Alligator mississippiensis: one gene and its partners. The protein of the gene in region 3 interacts with the protein of the main gene of each other region in a pairwise test. Links are inferred from orthologs where the notes say so. Each region holds a gene or a part of one and is shown on either strand. Other genes may lie near its edges. The genes, in order: INPP5D, BAHD1 and KHDRBS3.

Region 1 (10,004 bases), on a different chromosome or scaffold from region 3:
GAAAAAAAGGAACTTCCTGCCCCCTTGCTCCCTTTCTCATTCTGACTGATTTGCTTGCTAAACCTTAGAAATGTCTAGAGGATGACACTTCTTTCTCATGGTAATATTTCAGGTTTCATTTTTTCTAAGAGGGTAGGGAGGAAAGGGGTGCCCTGTGTTGGAACAAAGCCAAAACCTTTCAACTGTTCTAACAAAATGGCATTGTTTTGACATATCTATTTTTGGCCAGGTTTTCAATTTGGGTCACACTTTCTCACATTCACCCTCTTTGGTCAGATGTGACTAGAAAGCCCCAGACTTCACAAACCTTCTTGTCAAAAAGTCAGTCAGAATTGATACATTTCTGCAAAAACATCAGCTTCAATGAAACAGCATATTTCAACACATTACATTTTGTTGAAAGTAGCTGGTCTGGTTGTATCTAGTAAATGTTACAGCCACTTTCTCTGCAGCCATGAGACCCAAAGTGAATTTGCTGACATTAACACCAAAGCTGAGAACGCTTCAAAGGGAACAATTTATTCGACATGTTTGACCCCTTTTCTGCAGATCGACTTTGATTAGATAGATTATCCCAGTATTCCCCCCACAGTTGGATGGACACGTTTCAGTCTCCCTCACAGGCTTTTCGACACAACCACAGCTGCCAGCAGTCCCAGCATTGTTCCCAATGTCTTCAGAAGCAGGGACTGAGTGCTCAGCATTTTTGAAGACCACACCACTTAGTTCAGCACTTTACTACAGATTCAAGTGCCACACTTTTAGCTCCCATTTAAAAAAATCTTGGTTATGATATTGTTGTGTCTGTTTCCTGATCCCATGTATCTCAAACTCTCAAAGGAATGAGAACTCATGGTAGAGGTGATATATTTTATTAGACCAACTAGATTTTTGCAACAAAAAAAAATCTTTTCAACCATCTTTGTGAACCAATTGGAATAAAGAGAGAAAGAAACCAGCAACTCCCCTGGTATTTATGCAACCTCTTTTATTTGCTGTTAACAAGTATACACACAAACACAATATTGTTTTCAAAGGCATTTGTAGAAAAGAAGAGTGTTGTAGATATTTGTACTAATGTGTACTTTCATAAAGTTTTCCACTGTAAATGCTTATGCAGCCATCTTTGAAAGCCCTTTGAGAATGTGATATCCAGGTTGTAGTTGTACTGGTCCAGAGGCAAAAAAAATCAGAACTTGTGGTAGAAGTGATATCTTTTATTAGACCAACTAGATTTTGCAAAAAAAAATTCCTCATTTGCAAGCTTTCAGGCACAAGCACCCTGTTTCAGGCATAGGAGAAAAGATTCATACTCTCCTGTGAAATATGAACTTTCATTTCTACCTGGGAGAACTTTACAATATTTTCTCCTATGCCTGAAGAAGGGTGCTTGTGCCTGAAAGCTTGGAACGAAATAATTTTTTTGCAAAAATCTAGTTGGTCTAATAAAAAATATCACCTCTTCCACAAGTTCTGATTCCTTTTGCCTCTAGACCAATACAGCTACAACCTGGATATCACACTCTCAAAGGGCTTTCAAAGATGGCTGCATAAGCATTTAAAATGGAAAAATTTATGCAAATACACACTAGTACAACTATCTACAACAGTCTTCCTTTCTACAAATGCCCTTGAAAACAATATTGTATTTGTGTGTATACTTGTTATCAGCAAATAAAAGAGGCTGCATAAATATCAGGGGAGTTGCTGGTCTTTTTCTCCCTCTATTCCAATTGACTCACAAAGATGATTTTGGCACTAATTCCACGTGCTACTTGCCTGAAGGTATCAACTTCCCATTTCTCTCACAGAAACATGCAAACACCCGTCCTTAAAAACGCATGCCTCTTTCCTTCTCACACATTACTATGCCCATTCCCAACCTGCACTTCTGTGCCCACTGTGCAGACCTCTACCCCTTTACCCTCGTTCTGTTACAGTTTGACACACACATTTTCAGGATATGCTAAGCTGCCCCATACGTTATTGCAGAGAGACCTGCCTTCTGTCAGATGCTGAACTGTCCCCAGAGACCTGAGTTCAGAGGCGAACAGTTAGACCACAGATGAAGCTGACACCTCCTTCAAGAGCTACAAAAAGCACATTTTAAAGAGGAAGCAGCAATAAGGAGCTTGCTAGTTAGTTGGGTTGTGGTGACAAACTTGATTTTAAAACCTTTTGCTCACTTAAAGAGAGATGCATATGATTGGGCCCTGGTCCTAGGAAGCTCGTTTAAGTTGAGTCTGGCCATGTCCTCTCTCTAGAGTAAAATTTTAAATTCCTCAAAGTCTTCATCCAGTGGCTGTGGTGTTTCAACCCCCTCTTGATTCCAAGTCCCAGAGCTACAAGAGCAGACGTACTGCCCTCCTAACGAATCCTTCAGCTTCATTCCACAGCTAGAAATCTTTGACTGGAAATGAAACAACTGCTCAGGACACCGAAAGAAGCTTACTAAGGGGTATTTTCCCCCCAGCTTCCTCTTGTGAGCCACGTCCATGGGTAAGGTGGAATCAGACAACTTCACTAAGAGGACTGCCACCTGGAGCTACTAACACATTCACAGGATACCTGCTGGACTGAACAAGGCATTTATTGACTGAGCAGACTATACCAAACGTGCCAAGCTATAAATAAGTAAAAGGACACAACACTTGGTGGGCTCTATGCAAAAGTGCTTTTCTTTTTCATCAAAAGAAACAAGACCTAGGTACCTGACTGGTTCCCAGAGACCAGAGACCAGAGAGATAGCTAGGCCATTCTCTAATCCAGAGCATGTCAATCCAAAAGAGACATTTTTGGATCATGGTCTCCTTTCAACTCTGGGATTTGGGGCATCCCTTCCCTCGGGTAGTTTCCCCCAAAATGACAATCACAAATGTGGCTTCTCTCAATCCCTCTCCAAACCTCCAACTCCCACTCCTGCCATACTTTCTGGGCCAGAACAGGTTAAACCTGTTGCTGCTATCATACCTTCTCAGTGAGTGAGGTGGCTGCTTGCCTGTGCAGGATGTAGGGTACTCCCTGCATGGATAGGACAAGGGTGGCTAAGCACAGAGAAAAATAAAAGCCATACTTACAGCACACACAGCGCATACGCTGAGGGGATTGATTCACTGGCCCGTACGAGGAAGCTGCCATCCTTACCCACTTTGGAAAGCAGGTCCTCAGCCTTGGAGCGAGTGATGTTCCCATGGTACCAGCACTGATCCATGGCTGGAGGTGGAGGAAACCTTAGTGACAACCCTGCAGTTAATATTCGGGAGCTGCCAGAGCTGTCTGTGTGTCTGTTTAACAATCAGCAGCTGCAGCTCACCAGCTTCCTGTTTCAATGGTACAGAGGGAAAGGAAACTGAGCTGAGGACAACTTCCTCAGAACTCAAAACAGCTCAGAGCGACCGTGAACAGCCCTGCAGCCTCTGCTCCTCTTCAATATACTGTTGCTCAAGCAGTTAACAGTCTGTGTCCCCCACAAGAAAGGACCAGCCTGGGGGACCAATTCTATTCCCTCACTTTGGGACAGAGCCACAGATTCCATGGCATTTCCTCCCATTTACGGTGCTGTAACCAAAAGCTGAGCCAGGCCCTAAATGTCTCTATCCCTCCCCTTCCTTCTCACTCTCACTTTTTGCCTCTCCCTTTTTGTCTGCTGCAGGACCCCTTAAAAATAAACAGGAATATTAGAGCAAGATTCACTGTACCTCAGGGTCCTCAGGATGCTTCTGTCTGACTTGTCCTATTCTTGTCTATCTTCAGTAGCCCGACCCCAAAATCCAGCTGGTCATCATATGGGACCTGAAGGAATCTACAAACTATGCCTTGCCTGCGTGGCAATAAGCTAGTCTCATAATTTTGTCCAGGGAACCAGTGACAAAAACTGCACATCTCACTATCACGCAGCATCAGAAGAACTCAAAGGTAACCCGTATACCAAAACCCCACAATGGGATGGGATAGAGTCACACGAAGAGGGAGACTAGTGCTTTCACTTCCCCTTTCTTTGTCTGCACATGGATTTCTGTCCTTCCCGTGGGCTCTCCTTACGGCATGCTCAGTGCTGATCTCCAAGGCAGCAAACATGACAACTGAGGGTGTGTCTATAGCAAGCAAGGAAACCATTGCAGGGGCACAGACCGCGTGACATGTTTGGTTGTCTCGCCTGTACGTACAACCACTCTGTGCTCGGTGGAACTGTTTTGGCACATGTATACTTTGGCTCTAATTCAAAGCAGCTGGAAAGCCAGTTTAACCAGGCTGCTCAGGATTTTGATTACAGAGAGAAAGCCCTTAGATGGTGCAAAGTCAGAGCCGGTTCTAGACAAATTTTAGCCTCCTATGGCTTACGGAATTTGGTGAGAGAAGGGTACAGGAATCTCGGTTGTTGTGCTATTGTGTTCTGGTTGCCAGAAAGCCCCTTAGAGCCAGGACGGCATAATGTAATGGAACAGACTGAAGTTCCACTGGGGAATTCAACTGTTGCTGGGACAGGTCAGGATTGTAGGGGGTGGGAGGGAGACAGAGTTGTCTTCGTCTAGGATCTGGCTTTCTGTTCCTCACAGCTATGGTTGTACCAGTACAGTCAGAGTCTCCCAAAGCATCTATTCCACAGTGTCCATTTTGCTATTGTGACTGGGGCTTGTGAGTAACTTCTAAACACAAGGCATGACATTACGGGGTAGAGATAGGACCACCAAGAGGACTGGCACAGCTGCAACGCTTGTGGTTTCCTGTCCATACTGAGGAGTAACTGTTTGTTGACCTCACTTGGCCCAGATCCACCACACATTTTTAGGTGCATGACTCTCATTGACTTTGATGGAAAGTACGAGTTAGGTGCTTAAATTCCTTTGTGTACCTCAGGTATCCAGGTTGTAGCCATAATGGCCTAGAGGAAAAGTCAATCAGGACTCATAGTAGATATCTTTTATTAGACCAACAAGATTTTTGTAAATCTTGTGCATCTCAGCTCTTGTGCCATGCCAAAGGCCTTTTTGCCTGTTTTAAAGAGTGTCTGAGTGTGAGAAAGAGAGATTATAATTACTTTTCCAATCCTGCTTATAGTAATGTCCTGCCAGCTCCGGTGTTGGCTTCTCAGGACCTTCTAAAGTTTCTACTTGCAGTAGCTCTTCTGCACTGTTGCTGCAGCAGGAAGCAGTACAGCTCTGAATGTCAAGGCAACAGTAAACCACTGGTTGACATAACAGCAAGGAAACTTCCATATGGTGAAGATATAAGCAGACACAGAATGAGGGGGACTGACAAACAAGGCTATTTTTGCCAAAGTGAAACTGTCTTATATTAGAGGTTCTGATGATTTATTTTAAGTTCCAGGTACTAGAAAAGACATAAGCCAAGTTCAAGCCGTTAAATGATCAAGTATTCTCTTGTTTAATGCTACTCCTAAGAAAACAAAACTCTCTTGCAGCTAAGTTCAGTGTTCAGAGGCCTCAGAGCAGTCCTGTGTGCTGTGACTTCCTTCAAATGTGTAAATCCGCCAGCCAGCTATGTAGCACCCCCTCCCCCATAACTCAGGCGTAAAGAAGATTGTGTTCTAGACTCGCTTGTTCAAGATTTCACTTCTAGCCTCACTTCTCAGATGTTTAGGGTGTAGATTCCACTGACAGTGCAGTTCCAAATGGTTAGATGATTCCTACTGCCCTAAAATAAACTGCAGCATGATCCCTGCTGGCAACTGGATAAGACTACATCCAAAGAGACTGGAGCTGAGTTCTCATGGTGCTATGGTCTGACTCTTATTACACTGGGAAAAGAATAAAACTGGATTCCCACATGATTAGTGCATGTGGATTCAAGGAGTCTGAAGCCTGATTTCCAAAGGATAAATCATGAGGTATACTGCTTCAGCAAGAAGATTGCAGTCCACTTGCTATTGCTGATAGTTATGTAATTTCAGCAATGAAATTTCCTCCTAAATATGTTTGTCCAGGTAGGTCTACTGAATAGGTCTGATGAGCTATTCTAAGGAAAGAAGGAATTATAGGACAGTTGTCCTCTGACACTTGTCTAGCAGAGAACTGGCATTTTATCATATGAACAGAAGTGGTGGTGTTGTAGTCATTATGTTACATTATACTATACTGAAGGTGACATTAAAGGGCAGAATTCACCAGTTGCAGCGACTGCTTTCTATCTCTACTTGAAATAGGAGATTTTGAGGTACACAGTAGCAGGTGTGTCTGCTGTGACCCCCTTAGTAACATATAAAACTAAAAATGGGAAAATCTCAGTACAAGACTCCAAACCAGAAAGGCAGAATTCATGACTGCACTTTTAGATAACAGCAGTGGCAGCAATATTTAATTTTAATTTACTTGAGAGAATGAGGCCACAGCTTCATGCTAGATAATCAAATTTGAAGTCTTGGCTGCCTATGGACAAAGCTATCACATTATTTCCAAGTGTGGGGGTGTTATGCCATCTTGTCTATTAGCAGTTGTAGAATGAACTGCAGTTGCAGCTGCAGCTGCAGTCAAGCTAGGACTGTCCAAGGTGACTGTGAACACACCAGTGTGGTGGATAAGTGGACAAGCACTGTTCACGTGATCATTCAAAATGCACAACAACTACTGACTCAAAGAAAGAAAACTCACCAACCCTGGTTGAGCAGTTCATTAACCCTGGGTATCTTACTTGTTTGCTGCCAATAGATGTCATTGAGCTTGGACAGCTGAGAAGTGCCCAGAGAAACTCTCTCCATCATGACGCAGAAGCATTTCACAGTGGTATTGCCAAGAGAAGTTAAATCAGTGAGCAGATTCTATAGAAGAGCGCTTAACTTTGTCAGAGTCTAAAAACAGGCATACCCCCAGGTCAGGCATTAATAGCATGCTGTTGGCCTCACAGAGACATTTTTGGCCTCTGGCCTATATCTGAGAAGAGATGAATGTATTGCAACGTGTCATGTTTTTATCAGCACGTGAACTGCTTCTCACTTTGCTGCTACTTTAGCCCTATATGCTAATGAACTTGCAGCCTGGGGAAAGAAAAAGCATGAGAAACTGAATATTTATTCAGGGTGGTCGTACCGTCTCTTAGCTCCCACCGTACTTTGCACCCCATTCTGTGCATATGGTGACCCCTACTATAACAGGAGCCCTTCAGCAAAAGTAGAGAAGCATGAGAAATTAAGTGAAATCAAGAATCCTCCTTTTTTAACTGCTTCCAGATTTCTCACAACATTGCTATCGTCCCCTGCTAGACACATAAGCAACAAGAAGCAAGTGACAGAGGCACTTGAGCACACAGGCAATCCTCTTGGCTGTGCTAATGAAAGCCTGACATGGGCCCACATGGCCACTGTTTTTGCTGGCATGGAACAATCCTACCAGCAGAGCCCTGAAAAGTGCATATTTTGCCTCATTAATAAAGCAAACATTGGTTTGCCTTGGAATCATTATGCACAAGTGCACACACATGGGAAGTTTACCATACAGCAAATAGCCTGGACTGATCTTTATGCAAAAGCCTGTCCTAATTAAAACTTTTACTTCTCTCCACAGTTCTACCTCTGCCCTCATCTTCCCCTGAGATTCCTTCTCTCTTCCTTATTCCTTGTTCACTTCTGGTTACTCCTTAGGTACTCCTAACAAAATCGTCTACTTTCAGTTCACCACACATGCCTTGAGTAGTCTCTCAAGTTGTTTCCTTCAAAAAAAACCTGCCAGAGTCCCATCTACTCCCCAAAGCTCTCCAACTCAAATGTCCTCACATCACTCCCTAGAGTTTTATTTCACTAGCATGACACTTGGTGCCTTGACAAACTGAATGAAGCAAGGAATTATATTAGCTGTTTGACAGGTCCCACTGCCTGGCACACCAGAGACATTTTATTACAATGACAGTCAGGCTCTCTTGCTAGACTTTTAAGCAGTCTCCAGACTTGGATAGAGAGACAATTTCATGGCCTACTCCTGGTATTAATAAGATATTCCTGTCTCTCCTTTCCAGACAATAAATTTGACATTCACCCTAGTGACAAAGCTTACTGGGCCTGACTGCAGTTCTACCTCAGACAGCTGAATCACACAATGCAAGAGAAAGCAAGGAAAGCAAGATGGGAGGAACAGATGCATCAAAGGGAAGGTGAGGGGTCACAGGTCCAAGAAGTTTGGGTATTCTAAGAGGACTATCCTGAATTAAATACGATGGATAAAGATGAAAAAAGCTACAAAATTATGACATAAGAGAGCAATTTGACCACAGCATCTTGGCTTCCCTCAAGCTGAGAGAGCAGGAAGGTTAAAAGATCAAAAAGAGCTTCTAAACATTTCTAAGCAGAAAGAGAAGATTTCAGGGGCAAAGGTGTTTTGTGAAGGTAATGATGACATGCCTCCAAAATGTGGGGAATAACAATGATATCCTTTCCAGCGCTGCACTTGATGGAAAAACATCTCAGGCAGCCTATCTAAGTACTGGTGAGCATGAAATGGCTGCTATGTGTGCTCACGTAACCCCTTGCCTACCACTAAATTTCTCTAGGAAACAGTCAGTGTGAAATGTGAAAGGTGCCACCCAAAAATCACATTTGCTTGCAGTACATGGCAGCCTGATTGGAAACAGTTGAGGAAAGAACATGTAAAAAGAAAAAAAGGAGAAAAACACAAACCTATTTCCAATAAATTTAATAAATATTGTCACCTATGCATGCAACACTACGGCAATAAGAGCAGGATGAAGTCAGAAAATATAGGCCTTTTGCTGACAGACAAGTAGAAGTTAAATTGAGAATCAACTAAGGTGACTTACAGATGGGTACTGAAAGGTTTGTCAGCTGGGGCTCAGCACTGTGCTGGAAAAACTTGTTTCAGCGTGAACATGAGGAAGACTATCTTCTCACATTGCAATTTGGTGCCAAACTCAAAGAGGCAGCAGAACAAGGGTGAGCCATCTGGACCCTGGCCCAGGTACTGCATATCTGAGTAAGCACATAAACCCTTACAGATGATGCTGGGTTCTGTCCAGGTTGCTGGATCTAAGGGACACTTGTTGAGATACACTCCTAAGTCTCTCCGTCCAGTGGGGTCTGTTGGATGAGTATAGAGCACCCAGCTGTCTTGACACCCTGACTTCTCATCAGTGGGACACGGAAAGGCTGTAACACTCCCGTGACAGCCATGGGGAGGTTCCACCAGCTTTGCTATCCGCTGACCACTTTCAAAATCCACCCCATGGTTGTAGCTCACAGCCTGGACTCTGGCACCTCGGCTGCTTCTAGCATTGCAGTACAGCACTCTCTCTCCACTGATGTGCACTTCTGTGACCTGGCACTCCACTGCACTCTCCTCCACAAAATTCCCCAGTGTCCAGGTCTTTCCATGGTCAGAACTGACAAAGCAGAAGGCGTGGGGGGAGGGTGTTTTCCCAGGGTCAAGTATTCGATAGGCATAGGCAGGAATCACTAGATTTTGCGACTCATTGGACAACTGCAGACCATGGCCAGGTCCCACTGCAAAAGTGGCCCACTCCTTGTGTGTGGTGTTAATCACAGAGTTAGTGAGATCCTTGGCTGAGCTCCAGGTGCATCCACTGTCAGTGCTCGTGACATGGCACAAGTGTACCAGGTTGGTTTTTGTTTTGATCTGGTGCATTTCAGAGATCTTTCCTGGGATGGCTATAAAGAACAGGAAAAGGGTCCCAGTAACCTTATCATACACTGGACATGGGTTCATGGATTGGTGCCCCTCCAGCTGAGCACTGAGAATGGTCTCCATTTTGTTCCACTGCCACGTGTGAGTATGAAAGGGGGACAAGACAGGAACACATAGTTAAAATAAATCATACTCTAATTATAGATACAGACTAGAAACGAGAGACAGAGATCAGGGCATTGGTCTATCCTCAGTGTTGCCATTGACCCTCTGTATTACTTAGAAAACTTAATAAAGTAGCCTGCTTTTCATGGGTCCAAGGGACCCAGACATCTCACTGAAGTTACTGAGATGTCTGTGTATAAGGAATGAGGTACCCAACACCCAGTTACACCAGCC
Region 2 (9,645 bases), on a different chromosome or scaffold from region 3:
TTAATAACAGAATGTAACGGTGTGCCTGTATTTGCTTAGGATTTCTAATTATTTTTTCCAATTGTTTACTTTGAATAGGCTTCCTGCTAAGAGCTTACGTTTCAACACCAAAATATTTCAAGCCAATGTTTGAAGAAGAGTTTATGCTTCCCAAATAAGTATTCATCACCATCTTAGTAAAATATCCACATATTATATGTAAGCACACTCCAATCCCAACACGCTTTCACCACAAAGTGATGATTATAGCCAAGAAGTGACATTAAATGGATCCAAATATTGTGGTCAATGAGGAAAATGGAAAATAGAGAAGAGACCTGAGATGATGAAAGGTACATCTGGTGTAAAAAGAAAAGTTGCTCCCTTAGCAATCCACCAAGAAATTTATGCACGGTCTCAGAGGCTTTCAAAGTAACCAAACCCCAGCTAAGAATCCGTATCACTTCTTTATCAAGAGTGCATGTCAGACACTGGCACTGTGGTTTTTCTAAGACATGAACCCATATCTAAGTGTCAGAGGGAAAAGACCTACCCAACTGCATCATCAACTATGGATTAAAACTTAGAATTCTAAAAAAAGCATAGAACAATTTTTACCAGATAGCTAGACCTTTCAATGCCAAAAAACTGTGATGGCACAGAAGTACATTACCAGGGTCACAGCACTACATCATTCAAGGTAATGTTTGTTATCTACTGATACCAAACATGACCACCCAGATAAGATTCTAGTTAGATGAAGTTCCACAAGAAATTATTTTTCCTTCTACAGTAATTCTGCTTCTTTAATGCTAATTTGTACTCCTATAAACAGGGCTATACTTCACAACCCTGGTTCTATAGCACTTTACTAAGCAGGCTGGAAACCAAGTCTTAGTAAATTAACTAGGAAAATAAATACAGTCCCTGGAACATCACTTCTCCAGTCTTACTTAACAGGATACTTGAGCTAATTTAAAAACAAATATTTTTATATTTAAGATACATAGACACACAAGTTCTTTGTAAAAATCTAAACTCTCACAGCTCAGTAGGAGACAGACTGGGTATTTAGCACTTGAGAAAATGTGAAAGAGAATTTAAGATCGTAGGTGGAGTACGTTAGCATGATAGTTCTGTTAAACCAAGCCACACTAAATCACTTAATGCTGACATTTAAACTATGATAAGATTTCAAAGGCAATCGCCCATTAAAATAAACCAGGTCCACTACATTGTTTTTCACTCAGTCACATCTGGACGATTTTTGGCACAAGCAGAATGACTAGCAACTTAAAAATGAAAACTTAGATCCTGGAGCACAATTTACAGCCACAGTAACAAAAAGTACACAGAGCTCTGCCCCAAGGTAGCAGGTCGGACTGAGCAAATTCTAGTTGTGGCAGATTGATAGAAAGGTCAATAAACTGAGGTACCAACTGCCCAGAAATGTCATTTTCTTTGAAGTTCATCTGCACCTGATGATTCAGACTCTGTATAGGGAAGGAGCATCAGGGGCAGTTTTACTTAATAGACAGACACTATATATTTACACACACACACCCACCCACCCACCATGCAGGCAAAACAGGTTTTAAAATTTAATAATTTCAAAGTTTTCCCATGAACTATCCACAGATCTTTATAAAGAGATTAGGCTCCCATGATGCATTTCAGAATAAGTCCTAGGTTGTGCCAGACAAAACCTGGGAATTTTGCATCTCCATTTATCAAGCTCAATGGTTGTCAAACTGTAGTCCACAAAGCACTCACAAGTCTGCAGAGATCTGGCCAGTCACATGGTGCTGGCTCCTGCATCTTGTAGAAGCAGCTGGAAAGAAGGAGCCAGTGAAGCTGCCTCCATTAGGAGCTACTGCTACACAAAAGGAGAAGAGGAAACAGAAGCAGTGAGAGCCACCAACAGGAGAGAAAGGAATATCCAGCGAGACTGGAACCAGACGAATGGACAGCCAGCATAGGGAAAGATGCTTAAATTGAAGAGTAAAGTGCAATTAACTCTTGCATATTCCATTTTAAACAGCATAAAACAACTGCATAACAAACACTCTAAAAAAATAATCTCTTTCTAATATTGCTCTTCCATGCAAATACCTGCATGTATTGTCAGATAACCGGACTCAAAATGGTAGGATCAGATTGTGTATTAACAGCATCTGAACCACATGCAGAGACAACTGCTCTAGTGAATTAACATTTATTCACACAAGACAGTTACTTCAATGCCAGCCTCACAACACAGGAGTGACTCGCTCACAAAAGCCAAGCACCTGCCATCATACATGCATTTGCTGTAAGTATCTGCTCAGCCTGCCCAAACTGACTTGACTGCCTCCATCCTACCCTACACATACCTTTACAACAAAACAGTTAGGAAGTGCCAGAGGACCTCGCTCAGACGGGCATATAGCCAATGTGCGGAGCCTGCTCCTCAGCCATCTACATGTGCCTATGCAATGGGCTCCATAAAATCAGAGCCTGGTATTTTCCCCTGGCATCAGGTTAAGATCAGCTTAGCCAGTTCTCTGGAGGGGAGTTGGTGGGGGAAGGCAACAAATGACACCTGGTTTCCAGAGCCCCCTGACAGACTCTCCCTCCATTGTTCCCCTGAACATCGCGGCTTCAGCAGCGCATGTGGAAAACCCCTCTCAAGTTGGCGTTTCTTCCCCCTACTAAAAGGAGCTGCTGTGGAATAGGTAGGAGGCCATTCTGTACCCGGCTCTTTCTATAGAAACCCCTTTCCTGAGTCACTGCCAGAGGTTTTCTCCCTGAGGACTGAACCGGTAAGTCCCAGCTGGGGCTGGGGCCCGGGGGTGAGGTGCCTCCCCAGCTGCCCACCCGCCGGGAGGGGAGAGCGCCGCGCTGCCTGTCTTTGTCCTTCGCAGCCATCTGAATCGGGACATCTGTCTCCCAGGCTGGAGGGGCGGGGGCCCCTGAAGAGCAGCCGGGGCCTGCAGGCAGCGGCCCTGGCCCCCGGGCAACCCCCTGGGGCTGCTTTTTGAGCAAGGTCTTTGAAAGCGGGGGAGGGAGGGCCAGGAAACAACAGCCAGGCCAGGGCCCCCCCCCACCCCGCATGTGCTGCGGGGCCGCGGTGCTCGCTCGAGCCCCGAAGTGAAGGATTTTATTATGTAACTTTCACCCGCGGCCAGTCCCGCACCGGCCCGGCCCGGCCGCCGCCCGGCGCACCCACCTGCCACAAAGGCCGGTCCCCGCCGCGCCGCCCGGGGAGGGGGCGCCGCGCCGCCGGCGGGGTCACGGGCGGGGGGAGCGCAGCGGCGCCCTTCAGCCCGCCCCGCCGCCGGGATGCCCTTCGCGGCCCCGGCCCGGCCCGGCCGCCCCGAGGGCCCGGCCCGGCGCGGGAGCCTCTCGCACGGTCGGGGCAGCCCCGAGGGGCCGCGCTCGGCGGTGGCGGCGGGGATGCGGAGCCGAGCCGGGCCGGGCCCTGCCGCTCCAGTCCCCGGGGGCGCTGCCCCGCCCGACACACCCGGGCCGCCCCGCGCAGGCACCCGCCGCCCCGGCCCCGCAAGTTGGCGGCTTTCCACTGCAGCCGCCCCGGGGGGCGGCACCTGCTCCCCGGCCCGCGCCCCCACCCCGCCCGCCCGCCCGCCCGCAGGGCGCTCCCCGGGGAGCCGGAGCAGCCCCCGCGCGGGATGGCGGCTCCCCCAGCCCCGGCCCCGGCGCGCGGGACTCACCGCGGCGCCTCTCGTGCGGCCCCGGCGCGGCGCGGCCCGGCCCGGCCCAGGGCAGCCGGAGGCCCCGACCGGGATGGATCCAGCGGCTGGAGCCCGGCGGGGCGCCCGAGTCCCGGGCTCCACGCTGCTGCGTCAGCGCCTCCTCCTCCGCCCCCGCCTTCTTCGTCGCCGCCTCCTCCGCCTCCGCCTCCGCCTCCTCGGAGCTCCCGGCTGCGGGATGGGGATGGGGACGGGGCGCCCCCGGCGCGGCGCGGCTGTGCTCGGCGGCCGGCCCCCGCACGCAGGCCGGAGCGGGCGGCGCCGCTGGACAGGAGGGAGGCGGCTCAGCGGCGGCTGGCGCTGGCTGCGCGCTGGTGCTGCTGCTCTGCCGCTCGGCTCCAACTCCGCCAGAGCAGCGAGCGCCTCGCTCCTTCCTGCTTCCTCGTCCGCAGCCAATCAGCGTCCTCCCCAGCGCCGCTCGCTTCGCCGCGCCGGCCAATCACGCGAGCCCCTGCCCGCCGCCGCCAGCCAATCCCGCGCCGAGCCCGCTCCGGCCGAGCCGCCCCCCCCCCGGTCCCGGCGCTGGAGATTCCCGGCGGGCGTGGCGTGGTCCCGCCATCCCCGCGCTGCATCCCCGGCCCGGCCCGGCCCGGAGCCCCTGTCTCTCCCCCGCCATCGAGTGGCAGAGCCGCCCCGGCCCCGGCCGCGCTGCGCCCACCCAGGTCGGCGACCTCGCAGGGAGCCCCACGCGGCGCCCCGGCCCAGCCCGCGAGGCCGCCTGCCTGCCCGCGGCGCGGCCGGGAGAGGACAATCCGCATGGCAGGAGCGGACAGGGGCTGCTCGGGAGCCGGCGAAACTCGCAGCAGGGGCGGCTGGGCTGTCACACCCCCACCCCGCGCACGGCCCGGGGAGCGCGCTGCCCACAGGCGGGCTCCCGCCCACCTGCTCGGCGGCGTCGAGGGGAGGCCGAAGCACGTTCCCCGCTTTCCGGCCGTAGTGACCGCGGGGAGGGCGGAGGGAGGCCTCTTTGTCAACCCCCGCGGAGCAGCCCGTCGCCTCCTGCGCCTCCCCGGCTCTGCCAGCCACAAGGCGCCCGGAATCCCGGCGCGGGAGCCTTGCCTCTCTCCAGCCATCCCATTACCCCAAACGCCCCTTGGCACTCGCAAGCTCAACTACAAATACTGCGTGAAATGCACAAAGACTGCTAATGCCGAAGTACCAAGCATTTGTATATAGGGGACAGCTCAAATTAAGATTCACAGACATTAGGGGAGCCTTCGGCCACTGCAATAACTCTATAAAACGCTGTATAACGAATGGTTATAGGACAGGTAATGAAGCATTAAGGTTTACCTTTAAGGAGGAAAACTGACAACAGAATACATCACATCTGAGCAAGGTGGCATTGTGAGGAAACCTTAGCTTCTGAGATTTCCTAACTCAAGTCCTTGATTTTGTGACCTAACGTTACCGCAATGAAAGATGCCAAACTTTACTCTCTCTCATTGCACCATTAAAGTGAGGTGGCTCTAACTGATGGGTTCTTGAATAAACATGTCTCTTACTGAGCGTATCCTCTAGTCTACACTAACATGCTTATACTGCACCTTCTCTCCAAAGCATTAACTATATAGGCTTATCAAATGTAAACATGATGATTGAAGCACAAATACAGAGAGGACACACTTCCTTTTAACTGAACATTGGAGTGATTTGTTCACAATTTCTCCAAATGAAACGGGGTTTTTCAGCTGCATGCTAGCTCTGAAGAAAGGTTAGTTGTACCGACAGTGGAACTCAGCTTTAAGTATCTTACAGTAGTTGCTAATGATACTATAGAGAGCAATGCATCACTTCTCTCAGCAGTCAAATGTGTCTTTCCACTCCATTGTTTTTCCCCTGAACTCAAAGAGGAGGTCAAGTTACTTTTCTCTTTCACGGATGCAGGAGAGCTGAAAAAAAATGAAGACTAGGCTGCAACTTGTGAAGATAGCCAGAGGCTTGGTGATGCAAGAATGAACTTCTTGAAACAGGCATGGGAGAACTCAACACTGGAATGCTGTGGGGAAGTATGAAGAATGGATGGGTTATAAAGAGTCAACCCCTGCTGCTCTCATCATTTGTATGAAGACCTGCCTCCTGGCACCTCAACGCCCAGTGTACTAATAAAATGCTGCCACACTGTTGCATAAAACACAATCTCTTCCTTTTTTTGAAGAATCCGATACAGGAAAATAGGCCCCTTTTCATTTGCAGTCCTGTTGCTGTGCTTCAGTTTCTGTGAGAAAGGTCACAGATCCTCCCTCAGTGGTTCACTGGCACAAACTCTTTCTGTAAGCAGCCTTGTGACTTGGCTTCAATGACTTTTCAGTTCCTTTGAGGGTGGCCAATTTTACTTGATAGCCAGGAGGGAGCGACTGTCCTGGAGCTTCCCTGCCCCGGCGGTGTGCACCTCCCCATGCTGAAGGGACACACTCTCCTTGCTGCCCAGACAGCAACCTAAGAAAATGGACTCTGCCCTCTTGGCCTACTGTGATGCACACAGCAGTTTCTCCTATCTACTGCAGCAGCTGCCAAGACTGTATAGTAAACATATCCATTGATAGCATGTGTCTTACATATTTTTAAGGGATGTTGTGGAATAACAGATTATTTTTGTTATCACATCACCATCATTCCCCTCCACTGAGTCCTACCACACTAACCCCTTTCCTCTTCTGATAAAAGGGGGGGGGGGACAAACAAAAAACATTAATTACTTCAGAGTCTCAGCACTCAATCAATAAGAGGACACCATGGGCAAAGTTCCACTGGGACTGAGCTGGACCATGCAGCCTATTCTGGAAAAAAATAAAATGATGCTCCCCAAAAACTGTCAGCCTGAAGTAACAACTCAGGTCAGTATAAGGTCATTGTCATTGATGGACAGGTATCTACAAAGCACTTTTTCAGTGTCTTTTCCCATTCCCTGAGAACCTAACTAGACAGGATTGCATTCTGTAACCAAAAAGGGATGCTACTCTCCCTGGAGAACTGAAGTGAGACACCCATAGTACAGGCTCGAAAAGTTGAGTTTATCAAGCAATGTTGGTTCTTTCATGAATAAAAAGGTTATATGTTTTAGGGTTTGGGGTTTTTTTGCTTGTTTCTGTTTTTGTTCTGCTTTTATTTTTACAGAGACTAGGGAAGGAATCCATTTCCCTCCTGTCTGAATGGACATCAACAAGGTCAGCCTCCCTGATTTTCATCCACTCCTATGCCTGTGCCATCTACCTCAGAACTTCTCTAGCAACTGTGGCATGTTTGTAAGCCATTTCTTTACCAACATTGCCAGGAAGCAGGAAGATGTTTGAAGGCAAGCATGTGCCAACTGGGACAACCCAATCACAGCATAACAATCTCTGCTAATAGCAAGAGGAAACCAACAAATGCAGTAAGCATCAATTAAGCCACAGAAACTGGGTTAAAGACCATTTTTAAAGGTCTGTGTAGAATTCAGCAAAACTGAAGGAAACCTAACATACTAAAATATCCTCTTTCTTCCCAGTGTGCCTGTGTACTGTAAAGAATCTGGAATGCAGGATCAGCCATTATTGACATCACAGCAGTGCCAAGGGTGGGAGATAAGGAGGAAGCATTTCAACCATTTGGAGACACTGATCCACTTTCTAAACTTGTATGCAAGCTCCGTTGTTTCCTTTGGCAGTTTATGTAGATATGAACTTTAAGTCAGATCTCAGCAGCGTTCTGTTCATTCACCTACATGCCACTTCAATGACAAAGCACAACTGTTTTCAGCAACCAGGGCTTGCCAAATCATAATGAAGGCCTCTGTTATGGCTATATAATGTTATAGTCTACCCCAGAGTTTACAGCAATAATTTTACCTCCAGGACTACCTAAAAAGGGGGCACAGTAGGGTTGCTCAGTGATAGTATTTTCCAGACAAAAATATGCCCCAAATCAATGGCCTGATGTTACTTCAGTGAACGCAGGTGCAGACAGTTAGATATCATGAACCAGGAAGCCATGACATTTTTTGGCTAAATTATGATGACATCAGAAGCCAGGTTTTACATAGGTTCTCAAAGAAACATGTGCTGTCTGCGACTATAGAAAATAAGCTAGAGGGGTGGCTGCCTGAATGTTTTGCTATCATTTTTTAAATAAAAGGACCAAGAAACAAGCCAAGATAAACTTATCAGCTATATTGCTGAGAACAAACAAATGGGATGTATGCTAGCAACTGGCCTTTATCCAATAACATATTGCCTTGTTAAGATCCTTGTGCTTTAAGATGCTCCAATGATAAGCCTTGTAGACGTGTACAGTATTAACACTGAGTTTTCTCTTCTGTTAACAATCAGTTCAAGGAAGCATATGACAGAGGATAGTACAGTTATCTTATGGAAATGAATATGTATGCTAGTTACTCAGCAAAGCATAATGACTGTAAACAGTCTGGTTTAGAACAACAAACTTATTTTAAAATGGATTCAGACCCAACATGTAACAGCTCCTTCTCAATTGGATCAGAATTTTATTGCTTGCAGACCCTTTTCCTTTGTGCTGTAGAAACTAATGTTGCTCTGCACTTAAGAAAAAGGTAGGGAGAAAAGAAGATCCCATCAGGAAATTCCTATTATAGCTTTTTATTTCACCACTTCCCTCAAGTGTCCTGGAGTAGCACTACTTTGCTGCTCAACGTTGTTGAGTGTTAGCTAAAAAGTAAAAAAAAATCCCCCCTGCCCTTTCTTTATGAGAGCTGAAAGTGCTGCTTAACCAGTATTTCCAAGGTGAAGATTGAAGGAATCACCAAATCTGCCATACCACTGGACTGTCAAGCTGCCACTAAATAATTTTAAAACTTCCAATCTCTCCAGCAAACAGCAGCAGGAGGTTAACTAAGGTAGTAGCCAAATGCAGAGCATCAAATCAATTATAGATTTAGTTTTAGTGTGATAGAGAATGCAATCTCACTTTACTCTTCAGAAATGTTTTAATGACTTTACAACCATACCATCTTGGACTGTGATCTCATGTGCTAAATAGGGACAAGGCTGGTCAATATTTGGATGGGAGACTGACAGAATTGGAGCTGCTACATAATAATTTATGAATGCTCTGTTGACTTGGTTATGGAGTATGAATACATTGGTTTAATTGATAGGGAACTGCAAGGAAAAACAAGCAGGAAGGAAGCAAAATGGCTTGAGAGAAACCACCTCTCTCCCAAAACTGAGTTGTTAAAAGACATTACAGGAAAAGACCTGAGTGCATCACAGAAAATGGGATTCTCTCAAGAGAAGGGAAGGAAGGTAGTTTGGAGTTGTCTAGGAAAAGGAATCAAAGACATAGCTGACATAGTGACTTTAGACAAGATAAATGTGCATGAAGACTTGTTTTGAAGATTTCTGTTTCTGTCTCTAAATACTGTATTGTTAAGCAGCCATGAGGCCAGTCACAGGAAAGAACTGCAGCTGCCTGAACCCAGTCAGACCTCAGGGTTCTGCAGGTACAGATGATGCACAAAGTTCTGTAGGCAAGGACATGCCACTCTGGAAAGAGAATTGCACTATAAAAAAGGTAAGGGTAAAAAGCCCAACACTTTAAGGGGTTACACTTAAGAGACCATAAAGGGAACAGGGGCTCAGGTATAACCAGGAAATAGACCTCTGAGGAAACATGTAGGGCAAGAAATGGTGCTGATGATTCAGTAGGGGGCAATCTTCTCTCTGAACTATCATGGAATCAATACCCTGACACACTGTTAGGGGCCACTGTTGCTGGAGGTTCCATCTTTCAAATCAGGCATGAAACTTAGGCTCTGACTTTTTTTGTTCATTGAAGACCCCGCAACACATGGAACAGATGGGTTAAGAAAGGTGTCTTGATCCAATTTTAACACAGGTAATAGTACTTCTTAAATGAACCCCTAAACTACAATTGGAGAAGCTATTCTCCCCATCCCTAACAT
Region 3 (9,786 bases):
TCAAGCCAAACAACTTGCCTACCTCAACTGAAAACCATCCAAGGCAAACTGCTCAGCTTCAAAAGAAAAATGTAATATCAGACACGGTATTAATTCCAAAGTCTGAAGAGACATTTGGATGGGGAAGCTAAAGAAAGGCCTCCCCTACCTACCTTTCCTTAAAAGGTAAGTACCACAAACTTCCAAATGCAAGCTGTATTACTGAAATTTCATTTTAACCAGGAAAAACCTACTACTGTAGCCTTCGTTCAATAGTTTTCTACCTGCACCAAGAGCAGATTAATCCATTGCATATTAAAGGCATCCCCCAACCTGTGTGTTAATACCAGAGCTGACAAGTCACTTTTGAGAGAAGCTGCAGTGAAAAGTATTTATAAAACCTTTCATTAAAGGGAATGATTTCCTTTTCTGTTATTTGCAGAAAACATCTCATCCTACTTTAAAAAAAAAAAAAGTTGATAAAAAAAAATTCATGTTAAATCATAAAGTTATAGGAAATAAGAACAAAAAGGTTATAGAAGATCTCGCCTAGCCTCAACACCAGGACCAAGTGTACCATTCCTTGCATTTTTCCAGTTTGTTCATATGAACTTTCAGTTCTATCGTTTGTCTCTCAAGTCAGCCAGGTCCCAAATTTTAAACATGGAAAGCTACATACCCTCACGCTTATACATGGCAGGGGTATGTATACCTCCTGCTCTCTACAGTGACCTAACACCCATAGGAAGGGGGCCTTCCTTTTAAAGAAGAGTATTCTGACAATTTTTTTTTGTTTGTTTTTTAAATCAGGATATAACAGCAGCTACAGCTTAACCCTTTCAGGACAATCCCCTTATTAAGCAACCGAAAGATTTATCTGTATATCTAGCTTTAATCTGTCACCAACTTAATTGAGTGGATAGAAAGCAAGCTAATTATATTACAGTAAACAGGTTTCATGCATTTTGCTCAAGTATAAAAAGTAAATGCCTCATTCAAACCAGAACTGACAATATATTCTCATTACCTCCAAGAGAAGGACCCCTACTGTTCTACTAAATTTAAGCAGTAGTGAATTGTTCCAATGTTTGTTTGCCATAATATTTCAAAACTAACTTTTTTTCCATTTATATTTGTAAGAATTGTATTAAAACCACCGGAAACTTTGGTTTTTGGGGGGACAATGAGACTATTGTTTACTGCTTTATGGCAAATGGAAGTAGCAATGAAGGTAATGAGTATGTAGGCAAAAAATGCGTTATTTCAATTCTTTAAGACAAGAAGTCCAATGTGTTGTCATGCAAGCTACTGCTAAATGCTGAAGTAACACATTTTGCAGAACTACTATTAGCAAATTAAAGTTCTTCACCCCACCGATGCGTTTTATGATGTATTTTTCAGAGTTCTATAACTTAACCTTTCAAATGAAGAAAACAGACATACAGATGCATGTGTATCCACTTGTGTGTGAAAACAATAACTAGCAGATACTAAAACTCTGGCCACAGGACAACTCTGCTCCCTTGAGACCCAGCCTTAACATAGCTGGAGACTTGTTAATGTCTTTGCTTGCAACAGAGGACAACAAAAACAGCTAAACTTCACCTGTCTTTCAATTTTTCAAAAATAAGTGGCTGAGCAACTGTAAGGAAAGAGAATGAGAGGGGAATCATTTGTCTCAAAATACAAACCAGCATAATTCAGGCAGACAGTAGAAAGGGTTATTTCCACTTCTAACAAAAAAAAAAAAAGCACTCTCCATTTAACATCAAAGAATACCACCTGTTACAGTTTAGATTAGTAGGTTTAAAAAGCCATTTTCAGGAACCGTTTCTCTAGCCTGAAGTCACTAATCACAGTACAGTTTTGTATCGCTTACAGAAAGCAGACAACCTCCATTTTCCACTTCTTTCATTAATTAGATGCTTCACATCAATCCAGCATACAAACTGCCTGGGAAGCCACCCATCAGCTGCAGTCACTTTAAATATGCATTGTTATGAATGAAACCTGCATTTACATGGAGCTAGCAAGTTGTTACCTACTGAGCTTTTATTTTAGCGACTACAGATTTGAACACAATGGGTTCACACTTAGTGTTTCACTTATTAAAACCGGAGCTGAAGAAAGGAGCCTACATGGACACAAGACCCATTAACAGACAGCTCTTCCTAATCCATTTGCTCCAAGAGCACCTTCCATTTTTTAGTCCTGCAAGCTAGAAACTTACCAAGTGTACACAGATGCAACAATCAAATTATTGCATCAAGGAACTTAAAAGGTCATATCACTTCCCAATCAAGTTGCCGGCACCTATTTCCTTTGCAGATTTTTGACTCATCCATAAAACGAAAAGAAAAAAAAAAACTCAAGCATTAATGCTGGTAGCTTCACTCTTATCAGACCGCACACACAGAGCTATCCTTTGTGTCTATTCTCACAAGTACCATGCATGTTTGCACAATCTCCTCAAAAACCCTCTTTACACACACATGCAGAATGCTGCTATTCAGAAAATATTCTATCCGCAACCTTCACTCAGTCACTCATTGACAAGTGGGTCATTTTCTTCATGATTGAAGCACAGATGTTGCTTTAAGTTTCATGAACAAATATCCATTAAAACAAGTACATGTTAAACCAAGCTTCTTGTCTGCTATGTCAAAATTTGCTTTACCAAGCTCCTTCCTCTGAGCTAGTTCCTCCACCCTCACCCACCCCTCTCCGCTTTCCATACGTTATGCAAGTGTTTTTTGTTTTGCTTTTTTTCATATATAAAATTTCTTAGAAAAAACCCAAAAGACCCCCCCCTCAAAAAAAAAAACCCAAAACAAAACACGAGGAGCACTGACTGCTTAAGGGGACCAAGAAGCAAAAATCATTTCTATTGCCCTCATGAAATTGCCTATATTAGTGCAACCCCCCTATAGTATGTAGCAGAAGCTATTAGTCCTCAAAAAAAGTAGAGAATTCTTAACACCTGAAAGTCAACAGGCTATACCCATCTAATAACATTTGTAGCCCGAATATATTTAAATAAGTATAATTTAGGTAAAGCAACTTCTACTTAATCCTGCTTTCTACTCATTTGAGCAGCTCAAGTCAGAGTCCTTCTTCTTCATTTGTTTTTAAAGAGCCTGCTGCCAAACAGATGGAGTCCTAAATTTGGGATTTTACCATTCAAAACCCTGCCGACCCATTGCCTTGACTTTATGAATTCTGAAGAAAAACAGTTTAACGCAGCGAGGGTTTAATCGATAACCAATCCGATGTTTGCACATGATGTGCAAACACGCCGCGCGCAAATGCCTGCTAACATTTCTCCATGAACATTTGTTGCCAGAACAATTGTGGCAGCTTTCAGACACAAAATGTTTTTCCAATGGACCCCGGTGCCTGAAATCACTTCTCCCTTCTGCCTGCAGCAGAACCGCTGGGACTAAGCCGGGGCATCGCTTCCCTTGGGAAAGGGCTGTGCCCCTGGCTGAGGATGCTGAGCCGAGAGCTGCCCGGAGATGCAGGTCACATTCAAGCGGGAGGTTGACGGAAAGTTACACCAGCCCTTGCAGTTCCCAGACTGATACCACTAATTTAAAACCATGCAGCCTTAAGTACAACTGCAACCTGTGCTGGCGGTGGTGCCTTAAGTACCACCAGCAAACGCTGGTCATATAGTTATAATGGATCTGCTCACCCGTACCACTTACAGGTTGTCTGCGCACCCCTGCCACAGTCTGGGAACTGCTGCCTTAGACCAGGGCAGGAAGGAGAGGCTGGTACCCGCAAGAAGCGGCAGAGGGCACCGAGGGAAGGCAGCGGCGGGCAAGCTCCGGTGGCTGCTGCACAAGGAGCACCGCACGCACACACGCGTGGCAGTGCACACACGCAGCAACACCGGGCACACGCACACAAGTGCACGCACCCGGCACACGCACACAGGAAGATGGACCCCCTTCCCCCCGGCGGGCGCACCTTGGCTGACCAGCCGCAGCGCGTGGGTGAAGGACGGGTCGAGCGAGTCCTTCTCCGCCATCAGCTCGGGCAGGTACTTGTCGTCCATGGCCGCGGTAAATCCTCCCCGCGCGGCCGCAGCGCTCCCGCCCGGCCCCGGGGCGCATCCAGCGGGCGGGGCCGCCCCTAGCCTGTGCAGCGGCGGGAAGGTGACGAGGGACGTAGGGAGACAGCCCGGCACGGTGGGAAACTCTCCCTACCGGAGCAACTGCCGCCGCCCCACTCGGCGCCGACTGAGCGGCGCGGCCCCTCCGCCGCAGGTTTATATAGCGCCGCTGAAGCCCCGCCCCCCCCGCCGGGAGGAGAGGCCGCGCCCACAGAACCCTCCTACTGGGCGGGGCCGACCCGCCTCCTTCAATCGCGTCTGAGCAGCTTACTATTGGGCGGCTGCGGCTGTCACTCCCGGGACACCTGCGGCTTCTCATTGGCTGGTGCCGCTCCTCGCCGTTGGGCTGGGCGGGCTCGCGCGCGGCGGCCGTTGGAGCCGGAGGCGGCTCAGCCTCTCTTAACCTTTCGTGCACCGCAGCAGCAGCCCGGGGGCCCCCCCTCCCCCCACGGACAGAAAGGGCGCTGGAGCCTCCCCTCAGGAAGAGCCCAGCCAGGCGGGGGCGGGAAGCGGGGAGCACCCTCGCAGTGGCAGCAATTCTCACAGGCCGCGCCCCACGGTACCAATGCAAGACAAGCCTCCGCGGTGGTGCAGCTGGGCAAAAAGCGTGAAGACACCACTTGAGCACGGCCCGAAACGCAGAAGAACGACGCTAGGAAAACACGTGCCAGTCTCGCACTTTCAGAGGAGATTCATGAGTTATAGGACTTGATACCTGAAGTTATTATATCCATACGTGAACTGTATTACCTGAAACCAGAAGTTATATCGATACGTGAAGTTAAATCAATACGTGAACTATATTACTTGAAACCACAAGTTAAATCGATAGGTGAAGTTACATGACATGATGCATGAATGTGAGAGGCGAGGACCAGCCCGGCTACCCCATCACTCGAATGCTTCCACGAGAGGTTAACGCTTCCCCTACCGCCCACCCCGCAAAACACTCAAGGTTGACTACTGACATGTTTCCTCTATAAGGGTCCTCCCTCCCCAGGGCCGAGTACTCACGGCTCCCAAAAGCCTCTGTGCATCATCCTGAGGCTGGCGCCGCTGCAAGCGGCAACTCCACCAGAGCCGAGCCCATTTGGGGCTGCCATGGCGTGGGCGCTGCGAACCTGACTAGCAGCCCTCCATTTCAGGTGGCCACAATCCCAAGGAAGGGGACTCAATGAGCCGGGTGGCCCCTTCCAGTCTTATGTGCTAAGGATCAAGCTGTAAGACTATCACTGCTACATATCTGCGTGGATACGCTTAGTATATTAGCACATGTTTTACCTTGGGCTTTAGTTTTGAGCTACACCGTGGCTTCCTCATTGGCCTTCAGGAATTTCATCAGAGAAAATAACGGAGAATCCTCTCTACAAATGCCAGAGAAACAGACAGGGACAATCACCATCTTTACAAGTAAGAGCCATAAGTTAAAGGAGCATATAACATTTTAAAGTATCCGTTGATTGCAAGGTTAACAAAGGTAATAACAGGTGATCCGTTGCCCTTAAAACATGACAAAGTATGAACTATAGGTTGATAATCAGATAGCTTTATATTGATTAGTGTTTGTAATATAATCAGAAAGATGTAATAACATTTCTTGCAAACGAGCCCTGCTTAAGAAACTGCATTGCAAAGTTAGGAAGTGTAGACATAACACAACTCTCCAACTGTTCGTGTTCTTTTGCCTGACCCTAGAAATCTATGAAGCCATATTTTAAGATATCAAATAGAAGATTTAATACGAACTGGCAGGTCTTGCATCACTTCACAGACAGTGTTACAATAAAAAGTATACTTGCCTTGATTAATTTTTCTGATGATCTTCAAAATAAACCCAAGCCAGAGCTATTTAGCTCGACATGTCCAGAAGCAATTCATATTTGGTCAGCAGTCTCTAAAGTAATCCACCATTGAGCAAGGACTCAAATGCAGTCATCAAGAAATTGCTGGCACACTGGTTAGGTTCCAGTTTGACACAATTGTTGTTCCCTGGTATACACAGGACTTGAAGATCAATATTTATTAAATAAAATCAGCGTTTTAATGCAATATGTAAAAAAAAAAAAAAGATCAAATATGAGTAAAGATAAAAGTTTTACAATTATGAACAACTGAAAACAGCTTTGGAACTAGGATGACCTTAACAAAAAAATTAAGAGTCAGGCATAAAATACAGGCATCCCGCATCTTACGCAGGGGTTACGTTCTAAAGGCAGCACGTAAAGGCAAAAAATCACATATAGTGAAATCACATATTACCGTGCCAGCAGTGACTGCCTCTACCTCCAAAACCTCCCACCACCGCCGCAGAGCCACGCTTAGAGCTGTGCGGCCGGCAGCAGCGGCGCAGCACGGGATGGCCGCCCCACCCACGTATAGTTGAATTCGCACAAGTTAAATGCGTGTATGATGCGACATGCCTGTACTTGTGCAATAGGTTGTTTGAAGTTAATAGTTGCAAGTGAATGCAACATTTGCTATTGGCAACTATGGCAATATTTTAAAGTACTTAACTCAGGAGAGGGTAAATCAAAGTTACTAATTAAATAAAGTGTGAGACTAAACAGGGAATGTAAAAGCCAAAATTACAAGCAGTTGGGGAAAAAAGTTGAGCTAGAGTATTTTTTTTTTTTTTTTTTAATTCATCCTTGACTGAATATTGTAAATACACATTTAAAATGCAGCCATTTGTTGGTTAAGAGGTCAGGCAGAAAACTTTTCCACAGAACATGTGGGAATGTAATCCTTGGTGAAGGACATGAGAAAAAACATTCCTACTTCTGTGACTAAACCATAAGATAAAGCGTTTGCAGAGTACAGGACCTTAATTTGATAAGCCCACATTCAAACCATCTACACTGCATGAATCACAAAGAACAGGCCTTGGAAAGAGAAGGTGTTTTCATAGATTCATAGATGTTAGGGTCGGAAGGGACCTCAATAGATCATCAAGTCCGACCCCCTGCATAAGCAGGAAAGAGTGCTGGGTCTAAATGACCCCAGCTAGATACTCGTCTAACCTCCTCTTGAAGACCCCCAGGGTAGGGGAGAGCACCACCTCCCTTGGGAGCCCGTTCCAGACCTTGGCCACTCGAACTGTGAAGAAGTTCTTCCTAACGTCCAGTCTAAATCTGCTCTCTGCTAGCTTGTGGCCATTGTTTCTTGTAACCCCCGGGGGCGCCTTGGTGAATAAATCCTCACCAATTCCCTTCTGTGCCCCCGTGATGAACTTATAGGCAGCCACAAGGTCGCCTCTCAACCTTCTCTTGCGGAGGCTGAAAAGGTCCAGTTTCTCTAGTCTCTCCTCGTAGGGCTTGGTCTGCAGGCCCTTGACCATACGAGTTGCCCTTCGCTGTACCCTCTCCAGGTTATCCGCATCCTTCTTGAAGTGTGGCGCCCAGAATTGCACGCAGTACTCCAACTGCGGTCTGACCAACGCCCGATAGAGGGGAAGTATCACCTCCTTGGACCTATTCGTCATGCATCTGCTGATGCACGATAAAGTGCCATTGGCTTTTCTGATGGCTTCGTCACACTGCCGGCTCATGTTCAACTTGGAGTCCACTAGGACTCCAAGATCCCTTTCCACCTCCGTGCCACCCAGCAGGTCATTCCCTAGGCTGTAGGTGTGCTGGACATTTTTCCTCCCTAGGTGCAGCACTTTGCATTTCTCCTTGTTGAACTGCATCCTGTTGTTTTCTGCCCACTTGTCCAGCCTATCCAGGTCTGCCTGCAGCTGTTCCCTGCCCTCCGGCGTGTCCACTTCTCCCCATAGCTTTGTGTCATCTGCAAACTTGGACAGAGTACATTTCACTCCCACGTCCAAGTCGCTGATGAAGACATTAAAGAGTATCGGTCCAAGGACCGAACCCTGCGGGACCCCACTGCCCACACCCTTCCAGGTCGAGACCGACCCATCTACCACGACTCTTTGGGTGCGACCCTCTAGCCAATTCGCCACCCACCGGACTGTGCAGTCATCCACATCACAGCCTCTTAACTTGTTCACCAGTATGGGGTGGGATACCGTATCGAAGGCCTTCCTGAAGTCCAGGTATACGACATCCACCCCTCCTCCTGTATCCAGGCGTTTCGTAACCTGGTCATAGAAAGAGACTAGGTTGGTCAGGCACGATCTGCCCGCCACAAACCCATGCTGGTTTCCCCTCAGCATAATTTGCCCTGCCGGGCTCTCACAAATGTGAGCCTTGATAATTTTTTCAAATACTTTACCAAGGATGGAGGTGAGACTGACCGGCCTATAGTTGCCCGGGTCCTCCTTCCTCCCCTTTTTGAAAATGGGGACCACATTAGCCCTTTTCCAGTCCTCCGGGACTTGGCCCGTGCGCCACGAGCATTCGAATATTCCCGCCAGTGGCTCTGCAATGACGTCGGCCAGTGCCTTCCGCACCCTCGGATGGAGCCCATCTGGGCCTGCCGACTTAAAGGCATCCAGTTCTTCCAAATGACTCTGCACCACCTCAGGATCTACGCATGGAAGTCTGGTGCCTTGCTGCTGCCTCTCTACAACCCCAGTGAGAGACTTGTCGTGCCCCTCGCTTAGGAACACTGAGGCAAAGAACTCGTTGAGGAGTTCAGCCTTGTCCCCTCTATCTGTCACCAATTGCTTCTGCCCATTTAGCAGGGGTCCTATTCCTCCCTGGGCCTTCCTTTTACTCCCAATATATCTAAAAAACAATTTCTTGTTGTCCTTTGAATTGGCCAATTTAGTGTTTCTGGTTTTATGGAACCTCAGGTGCTTTTAATGTGAAAACAAATACCAGCGTAGCAAGGATACATCTAAAGCTTTGTCCTCCTTCACAGGAAATCAGAAAATACAGTCATTACCAGTTTATCCACATTTTAGCCTATTGTTCAAGTCAAAATCAGCATCTAACTAGTGAAGCACACCGTGTTCTCCACCACAGTCAGAATAAGGACATTAAATCAAAGGGCTTCAGTAAATCAGGAACAGGAAGGTGTGAGGGAACAAAGACTAGTAGCTATATAAGCATAGAAGGTGCAGGTTGAAGGAAGCAGACCCGGGTGGACCCTGGAAGGGGATTTAGTGGCATAGCTGCCTTTTGCATTAAATCTAGTCCAGGAACCTCTGGAGATTTTTTTTAGTCTCCAAAAACATCCCCCTTCCCTACCCTTCTCCTTTCTCCTCCTCCTGCTACAGCTGCTTCCTTCCCCCACCCCTCCATCTGGGGCAAGATAAAACTTCAAAGTGGTTCCTGGGGTATGTTCAGGGGCCAGGGTGTTCCCCTTTACTGCACCTGCTTGGGGGAATGGAGGGGAGAAGGACCAGGCACCGTAGGGAAATCACCCTCTTCCCACCCCCTCCCCCTAAATCTGGCTGCTATAGCTTTTAACATTCCCAGCCCACTCATGGCCCCTTGGTGTGGGCAGGAGCAGCTTTGAAGCTTCCAGGGACAGTGGAGAAAGCAGTAGGAGCGGGGAATGTGCTTCTGAGCATGGAGGGAAAGGTGGGGATTCTAACATGCCTGGAGGACTTTGAAAAAGTCCCCAGAGGCTGCCACATCAGGGTGTACTCTTATCCATGAGGGTGGCAGGAGCCTGGGAATCGAGGTGCAGTCACCCCTGCAGTGGGGGCTCTGCCAAATCTTGGATCCACCCCTGAGGCAGACTAAGCTCTAGTTACTCGGCTGACAAAATCCCTTGAAAGG

What was found.
Region 1: the proteins of KHDRBS3 (region 3) and INPP5D interact in binary tests that used the Homo sapiens proteins (3 or more experiments, as listed by UniProt). The two-hybrid records come from large-scale screens. The link is inferred for Alligator mississippiensis from reciprocal best matches to the Homo sapiens genes KHDRBS3 and INPP5D.
Region 2: the proteins of KHDRBS3 (region 3) and BAHD1 interact in binary tests that used the Homo sapiens proteins (3 or more experiments, as listed by UniProt). The two-hybrid records come from large-scale screens. The link is inferred for Alligator mississippiensis from reciprocal best matches to the Homo sapiens genes KHDRBS3 and BAHD1.

What each region holds. Positions count from the first base shown.
Region 1 is NC_081830.1:38,844,332-38,854,335, reverse strand, and holds the start of INPP5D (phosphatidylinositol 3,4,5-trisphosphate 5-phosphatase 1), read right to left. Parts: upstream 3,993-10,004; 5' UTR 3,699-3,992; intron 3,214-3,698; 5' UTR 3,212-3,213; coding exon 3,078-3,211; intron 1-3,077. Other genes in the region: NEU2 (sialidase-2), read right to left, coding at 8,796-9,737. UniProt on the Homo sapiens protein: Phosphatidylinositol (PtdIns) phosphatase that specifically hydrolyzes the 5-phosphate of phosphatidylinositol-3,4,5-trisphosphate (PtdIns(3,4,5)P3) to produce PtdIns(3,4)P2, thereby negatively regulating the PI3K (phosphoinositide 3-kinase) pathways.
Region 2 is NC_081825.1:241,372,071-241,381,715, forward strand, and holds the start of BAHD1 (bromo adjacent homology domain-containing 1 protein), read right to left. Parts: upstream 4,070-9,645; 5' UTR 3,690-4,069; intron 1-3,689.
Region 3 is NC_081826.1:12,062,087-12,071,872, forward strand, and holds the start of KHDRBS3 (KH domain-containing, RNA-binding, signal transduction-associated protein 3), read right to left. Parts: upstream 4,237-9,786; 5' UTR 4,040-4,236; coding exon 3,952-4,039; intron 1-3,951. UniProt on the Homo sapiens protein: RNA-binding protein that plays a role in the regulation of alternative splicing and influences mRNA splice site selection and exon inclusion. Binds preferentially to the 5'-[AU]UAAA-3' motif in vitro.